Nothobranchius furzeri: one gene and its partner. The protein of the gene in region 1 purifies or fractionates together with the protein of each later gene. This does not show direct contact. Links are inferred from orthologs where the notes say so. Each region holds a gene or a part of one and is shown on either strand. Other genes may lie near its edges.

Region 1 (3,707 bases):
GTTGGTTAGTTGTTTAGTAGTTGCAGCTTCGGTGGCTAGCGGGTAGTAACTCACTTATATTTTTGATTTAATAAACATATCTCGTTATATATTTATATTGAAACTAATACATATAAAATATGACCTCATCTCCCGTGTCACGTGACGTTACGTGACCGCCATGGAAGCCACGGTCACGTGATGCAAGTCTGTTCCATTTAACCGTTTTCTTTGACCAAGGAAGGACCGTGTCCTCGTAAGCAAGGCGCCTGGCCTCACAAGACATCGCCTCGCAAGGCCAGGCGCCTTGACATTGAGAAACATCCTCTGTGTCCAGTATCCAGATAACTTAATAGGGGAACTATCGGTCTATCTGGCATTTATTCATAGTCTGGATATTCCCAGAACTTCCTGGACATTGTGTGCTCTGACATTCTTCTTCTTTGTTGTTTTCCTCTTGTCCAACAAGGACGTTAGCTGTAGCTCAGGTTAGCGTTTGCAGTAGCTCTGCGGTTCAGCATTACTTCTACCAACATTTATAATGGCAGATTCGGAAGAGGGTTGGGGCATGCATAATTAAGGGTGATTTGGAAACCTAGAAGGTATTTTGGACCACCATGTGACATAACATCAGCTGGACAGTCCTGATGGACCTGCTGCCCGTATTCTCCATCGTGGCTTATGTTGTACTATGTTATTCATGAGGCAGAACTTCTGTCACCTCTGGGACAGACAATAAAGCAGTTTCATTTCCAGTCATTTAGTTCAAGTGATTTGTCTTTTTCCTGATTGTTTTATTCCCTTAATTTATCTCAACACATATTTTGTTCAGATTGGCAACAGAATTATGAAATATACACATCTGTGAAAGCACTCACACTTAATCTTCATAAATCAGACCAAACATGTTCAAAGAAATGTTAGCGAAAAGAACATGGATTCAACAAAATTACTGAAGAGGCATATTCACTTTCATTTTCCCTGCATTTGCCTAGAAATCGATCTAATGGTAGTAGTGGCAAAAGACTTGGCTCTGCAGGTCGGTCTGGCCACACTACATGACAGCCTCAGCAGATCTACCACTGGCCTGAAGAGTTTTGCTTCTTGCAATTCACATCACTCTATGTTTATTGGATGGCCTCAGCACCAGAGCTATGATGGAGAAAAACTACAAAGATGGCATCGACTCAGGAATGGTGCTAGTTCTGCTGTGTGCTTTTAACATCTTGATCTAGTGGAGCAACCCGTGTTCTGACCTCCACCCCCCAAATGTGCTTGTGTGAATGTTTGAATGATTGATTGTGTTGTAAAGCACCTTAGGGGGCCATTTTTTATTTAAAGTGTAATTTTAGCACAGACTAATTTCAAGACAAATTGTTTAAAAAAATGAAAAAGTTGCTTAGTATTGACGAGCGTATTTTCCTACTGCTGTCACTGCCCCCTACTGGACAGCAGCAGCTACAGCAGAAACCCAGATATTACACTCTCATCTAAAAACAAAAACATTCATTTAATGAATTATAAATGGTGGGTTGTTTATCACCAATAGGCTTACATTTGAAAAACACATCCAACCAGTAAAGGAAAAAAAAGTCTTGGGGGGCTTTTATTTTGTCAGGCCCACCGGAAGCGTGTCGCCTTCCAGTGGGCTGGTTTCCTCAATAAGCGGAAGTACAAGGTGAAGAGAAACTTTCGGGTTTGTTAAGAGTTGTTTTTCAACCTGGTTCTGATGTGACCCACTCGGTTCTGTAAAGTGGAGGAGTTCGGTTCTCGAGCAAAAATGGCGGGAGGGTTCCGACGAGAACAGTTCCTATTCAAACTTCCCTCTCCCGTCAACTGGGAGTTCTGCCGAGTCATGGACGGACTGTCGGACTTGGACTGGACCCGGTTCGGTGAGTTCCCCTCTAGAACACTCGACAAACAGGTCCCCTGGATCCGTATCAATCTACACCTGACCAGAGTCACGTGCTGCGGGCGACGGTCTGCTTTGAAGTGTCTCAGCTGATTGTTCTGCTGTCATGTGGCCCCGCCCACACCTGGAGCGACAAACAGGACCCCCACGCACCCCCTCCCAGGGTTGACCCGGAGAAGCTTGGCTGTGATTTTTGCCCGTTGTGGAGCAGGTGTAGCCCCGCCTCTCACCTGGTTCAAACGTCACACCTGTCCCAGTGACTTGTTAAACATTCCTGCTGCATTTAGTTACTTCTTATTTCCAGTTTCGGGTTTTCACTCATTCATGTCTCATTTGCACAGCTTTCCATTCCCCGTGAATATTCTGCTGCAGTCTTAACAGAATTTTATTTTTAATGCGGTAAATTTAATTAAATCTTCTAAATATTTACATATTTATTTAAACTGACCAGACGGCAATGGAATTTATTCCATTCTTTCCCCTGAGACTCCACTCGGGATGAAGCAGCTCCACAACATTCTCAAATCCTTCCCTTGAGTGAGGTGACAGTGGCACAGGAGATTGCAGAAGGTTGCAGGTTTGAGCCCCGCTCAGTTTGTCGCTCCTTTAGCAAGACACTTAACCCCCCTGCCTGCCGGAGGGACCGGCGGCGCCTGTGCTTGGCAGCCTCGCCTCCGTCAGTGTGCCTCAGGGCAGCTGTGGCTACATCATAGCTCATCCCTACCAGGGTGTGAACGGGTGAATGACTGGTTGTGTTGTAAAGCGCCTTGAGGGGTTCCAGGACTCTAGAAGGCGCGATATCAAATACAGACCATTTACCGTTCTGTCTGCAGCCTCGGAGGTGCTGAAAGACCAGACGGCTGTGCGACTGGCTGAGAGGCAGGCCCAGCGGACCGACTGGGTGATGAACCAATGGGGATGCAGGAACGGTCGAGTTGGAGAGCTGATTGACTTGTTAGAGTCGCTGCAGCTTTTTAGGCCACGAGATGTCATCTTGACCTGTAAGTACACCTCTGACCTCTGACCCTATATACAGGGAGCCCAAGTCTCCTCCCTCTCCGGTCGGCTCACGGGTCTCCGAAAGAACCAAAAAATGAATGCAAGTCGCTTTGCCTCACGCCCTGGATCGCACACGTTGTCCTGCAATTTAAATGAAAAGCAATGAAGTGTGTTTCGACCACGCCTGTCACGTACGTGGAGGTCGATCGTACCGCACCAGGTTTATTCATAAAGCACGTTTAAAGCGCCGTGCAGCAGCTGACCAAAGTGCTGTACGGTGGTAGAAAGAAGGATGTCAGCAGCGACTCGAACCGAGTCAGTGACTGGGCTTGTCCAACACAGAGGGGAAGGTCGTAATTAGCATAACGTGCATTCATTTTTTCGTTCCTCCCATGGTCCGGAAGTAGATGGACGTGACTTAGGCTCCATATTAGAAGAATGTTCACCCCTTCTTATGTCTGCAGGGACTCAGGCGATGAATCCTTCCTCCTTTGCTCCTCCTCCTCTTCCTCCTCCGCCACCTCCTCCTCGTCTCCCTTCTCCTCCACCGTATGAGCAGCCCACAGGTAGACCCAAAACAAGCCTGCCCATTGCTCTGATCAGCTGTTCTCCATCTGTTTTCCATCATCATCATCATTGGGGCGACGGTGGCACAGGAGTTAAGTGCTCGCCCCGTAATCGGAAGGTTGCAGGTTCGAGCCCCGCTCAGTCTGTCGCTGTCGTTGTGCCCTTGGGCAAGACACTTAACCCACGTTGCCTGCTGGTGGTGGTCAGAGGGACCGGCGGCGCCAGTGCTCGGCAGCCTCGCCTCTGTCAG
Region 2 (3,752 bases), on another chromosome or scaffold:
GAGCTACTGCTGCCCCTCTGTGCAGAAGTTATAAGTAGTCCCTGTGTCAGCTGTTCATGGCTGCCCGAAAGGCCTCCGTTCAGAGAAATAGCTTGTGTCCTTCAGGAAGGAAAGCTGTAGCAGCTAGTCTGAGCTAACGGCTAATTGGGGTGCAGCTATGGCCAAATATATTCCCGCAATTAGCTCCAGTCTCTGAGTCGCATGCTGCTGGATTTGGTGACGCTGCTGCCTCACGGCAAGATGGTTGCTAGTTCAAATCCCAGTTAAAATGTTCTTCCCCACGTGTATGCACGTCTCTTTGGGGCCGAAAGCGCTTTGGAGTCCTCTGACTGTACAAGTGCGGGCCGTTTAGCATTCATTTGGGTAGAAGCTACATAAAAATGAACGAACAAACAACAACAAGCATATTTATCACAGAGGATCATGGGACATCAGTTTAGAAGCGGCCACGCTGCGGTCAGTCCCTCTAGACTGGGTTATTTTCATGGATCTCTGTGATTTCTTGCATGGAATTGAGTTGTTTGTGTGGATTTCTGTGCTTCTGTCTCCAAGCGCCTAACGAGCCGTGTGTCTCTGTTCCTCAGCTGGACGAGGAAGCCGTGGCCTCCATGTTGGCAGATTTTGTTGCGTGTCCTCCTGATGATGAAGATGTCGCCACGGGATCTAATGGCTGAAGAAACCCTCTCCTCCCCAGGAGGCAGTTCTTCTAGAAAACCAACTCTGGTCTCATTTCCAGTTTTACTTTATTAAAAGACTTTTGTCGTGCTGAACGTTGTTCTGGATGTTTTTTGAGCCGGTGGTCCACCTGTTACACGATAAACACGTGGAGCTTGGAAGCCAGTAAAAGTCAGACCTGCAGCATCTCGCAGTAACCCGAAGCTCTGACCGGAGCACGTGGCTTCCTGTTTACGGCGTGTCTCTGCGGTAAATGTGTTTGTTGGGATCTGAATGTATCCATGATGGGTTTTTTTTCCCATGTTTTGTGCTTTAGTATAAAAATTGAATAATGACTGAGTGGATGGTTTTTAGATGCATCTGGTTCTGAGTGCTGCAGGTAAGTGTGGCTCTTACACACACACACACACACAAGCTGAATCCATAAACGGGCCTGGTCAGCTGCTCTGAAGCTCAGATGTTGTAATGAAGCCATGTTTTCTATTCCGTGAACTCACCATCGCTGATTCACACCGTCATCAACTTCAACCCTAACCAGGTGAAGCAGAACATAGAAACCGATCTGGTACCAGTTGGTGGTGCTGGTTCGGGTGTGATGGATGGTTTATAATTCGAAACTGATGATGATGATGATGCTGTCACGATCCGGTACCGGGGCTGAAAGCTGCCTTTGGACCCCCTGATCGTGTAGGGGACCAGAAGGTGGGAGGAGATGTGGCCGCGTCACCGGGCTGTCTGCTGACATCAGGACGTGTCTCAGGGAGGGAGGGGTGGGACGTGGCCACGCTCTTCTCCGCCTCTCGTTCCTCTTGCTGGTACCCTTAATGGATCCCGAACCGTGCGGGAACTGACGGAGCCCACAGCGGGAACCTGGGAGAACCAAGCCGTTGCTGGACCTCTCCTGGCAGACATCAGCAGGTAAAGCTGCTCCTCCATCAGCATCCGGGGAGGAGGAGGTGGGTGGAGGCTCTAATGGTGCTTATACCAGCCGCTGTAAGGCTTCTAGACGGGAGGATGCTCTGTGTGTGTGTGTGTGTGTGTGTGTGTGTGTGTGTGTGTGTGTGTGTGTGCACCGAGCCCGTGCGCACGTCACTAACAGCCATGTTTTCTGATGAAGAGGGACCGAGGCGCGTCTCCGGTCAGACCCGTTAGGGGTAAAGCTCGGGAACCGCAACAACCGGGCTGACGAGCGATGGCTGATCTGGAACCAGTCCAGCCTCCGTAGCGCATTACCGGACCGGTGTGAGGCTTCTAGACGGTTCCAGGCTGGTCTGCACTGTCTGATTAAAGGTGGGTCCGTGTTCCGATCCAACACTGATGAGCGTGCCGTCTGGGCTCAGGCTCGGTTCGGTCTCGTGGTTTGGCTGGGTGGATGTGGATCGCAGGACGCGTGATGAACCTGAACTCACCCTGATCATAAACCATCTAGTGCTGCAGAGACGACACCACGTGGTGCGTTCAGTGTCCTCCAGCATCAGTCGGTAAATGGGGATTTTCCTGCGCGTAGAGGTCGTGAAGACATTGCCTGGGGGTCACGTGGTTACTAATGTCCATTCCCCTTAAACTCAGCAGATGTTTCAGGGTTAGTGCTGAAATCCAAACTGATGCCTCTATCGGTCAGTAGTCCGCCCGGGGTGGCGGAGGTCCCTTGGTCCATAGGCTCTGGCTGAGTTGGTTGCTCTGCAATGGACATCAGGGGGGATCCATCAGGTCTGCTGTTTCCAGATGATGTGGTCCTGGTGGCTTCATCACATTGTGATCTCCAACTTTGCTGGAGCGGTAAACTAGTACACCTTTTAGTACACTACAAGCACTAAGTACTTAGCATACTTGTTATCCTTAATGAAATGAACCTCAACATTTAGCTCAGGATGTTAACCAGGGATTGTGCCAGGCATGTGGAAGACGGGTGGGCACTCCACTCCTTTGAGTCACTTTGAACTGAACAAACGCCTGGCTCAGCAGGTAACACCAGGTGTATCAGGCAGATGTTAGGGCAGAGGTAGTAAGGGAGGCAGGAAGACCCAGACTGTTGGTTTCCCTCTGAACGGAGACGTTACAGCAGCAGAAGTGTCGGACCTCACCGAGTTTTCATGCAGAGTTTACACTAAGACGCGACGCTGTCGGGGGAAGCTCACTCTCTCCGTGTCAGAAATACGAGTCGTTTAAAACCAGTTTGCATTATTCAGTGTACTGAAACCGTCGCCTGCATCCATCTGGGACAGCGCGCGGTTCAGCTTCCACCAGTCCTCTCGTTTGGTGTCACGCTACAACAAACCATTCTTCCAGACTTTACGGAGCGGATGTTGCCACACGGATCTTTGGATTTGGTGTTTCTGATGAAGCAAAACACGTAAAAACACACTTTTGTTATCATGGCCTTTGTGCTTATCAGCAGCCCTGATTATTAGCATCACATGCTAACTCTGGTCTGTGAGGAACCACAGAGCCGGACTAGTGATGTGTTTGTGCTGATGTGCTCTGTTTTCTGTACAACACACCAGATCCTGCACAGTTTCATCTTTTTGTATTTGGTCTCCTTTAACCTGAGTTCTTGGCCTGTTGTCTGGTGGTGCGCTCACCCCCACAGTGGCTCTGGAACCCGTCCTCTCTGCAGGAGGTCAGGAGACAAATGGGCTTCTTGCTCGTCTTAGAGACTCTTTTCCTGTAGAGTGCGGGTTAGCTCTCCTGTATCTTCAGTATCTGACTGTTATTTGCCCCTATGTGTCAAACTGCAGCTATTTTTGGAAAACCCGCGCCAAGTGATGGACAATCCGAGGACTCTAGTCTCCATAGTCCAGCTGGGGGGATTCTGAAGTGGGCAATGACAGTGAGACCTGGATTACTATGGCGCGGTATGGGGGCCAAAATTAAGACTACTGCCCAGCAGCAGGAGGCTATATAAATTCTGAAGCAAACTACTGATCTGATTGATGATAAGCTGGCACCGGTAACTGAGAGGCGCTGCTTGCTGAGGAATAGCACCTTTACCGGCGTTATTACTAGATATGCTAGGGACTAGCAGCACTCGGCTGGTCACTGACTGGTTCAAACACTCCCTCTGCTGTCTATTAGCA

Evidence for each region. Proteins that work in one complex are often made in the same cells at the same time.
Region 2: the proteins of irak1 (region 1) and peli3 purify together in Homo sapiens (affinity purification with western blotting; 7 studies listed by BioGRID and IntAct, with this or other methods). This does not show direct contact. The link is inferred for Nothobranchius furzeri from reciprocal best matches to the Homo sapiens genes IRAK1 and PELI3.

What each region holds. Positions count from the first base shown.
Region 1 is NC_091755.1:47,789,835-47,793,541, reverse strand, and holds the start of irak1 (interleukin-1 receptor-associated kinase 1), read left to right. Parts: upstream 1-870; 5' UTR 871-1,759; coding exon 1,760-1,871; intron 1,872-2,724; coding exon 2,725-2,892; intron 2,893-3,354; coding exon 3,355-3,456; intron 3,457-3,707.
Region 2 is NC_091743.1:86,669,551-86,673,302, forward strand, and holds the start of peli3 (E3 ubiquitin-protein ligase pellino homolog 1), read left to right. Parts: upstream 1-1,435; 5' UTR 1,436-1,593; exon of another isoform or gene 1,594-1,631; intron 1,632-1,792; exon of another isoform or gene 1,793-1,965; intron 1,966-3,752. UniProt on the Homo sapiens protein: E3 ubiquitin ligase catalyzing the covalent attachment of ubiquitin moieties onto substrate proteins. Involved in the TLR and IL-1 signaling pathways via interaction with the complex containing IRAK kinases and TRAF6.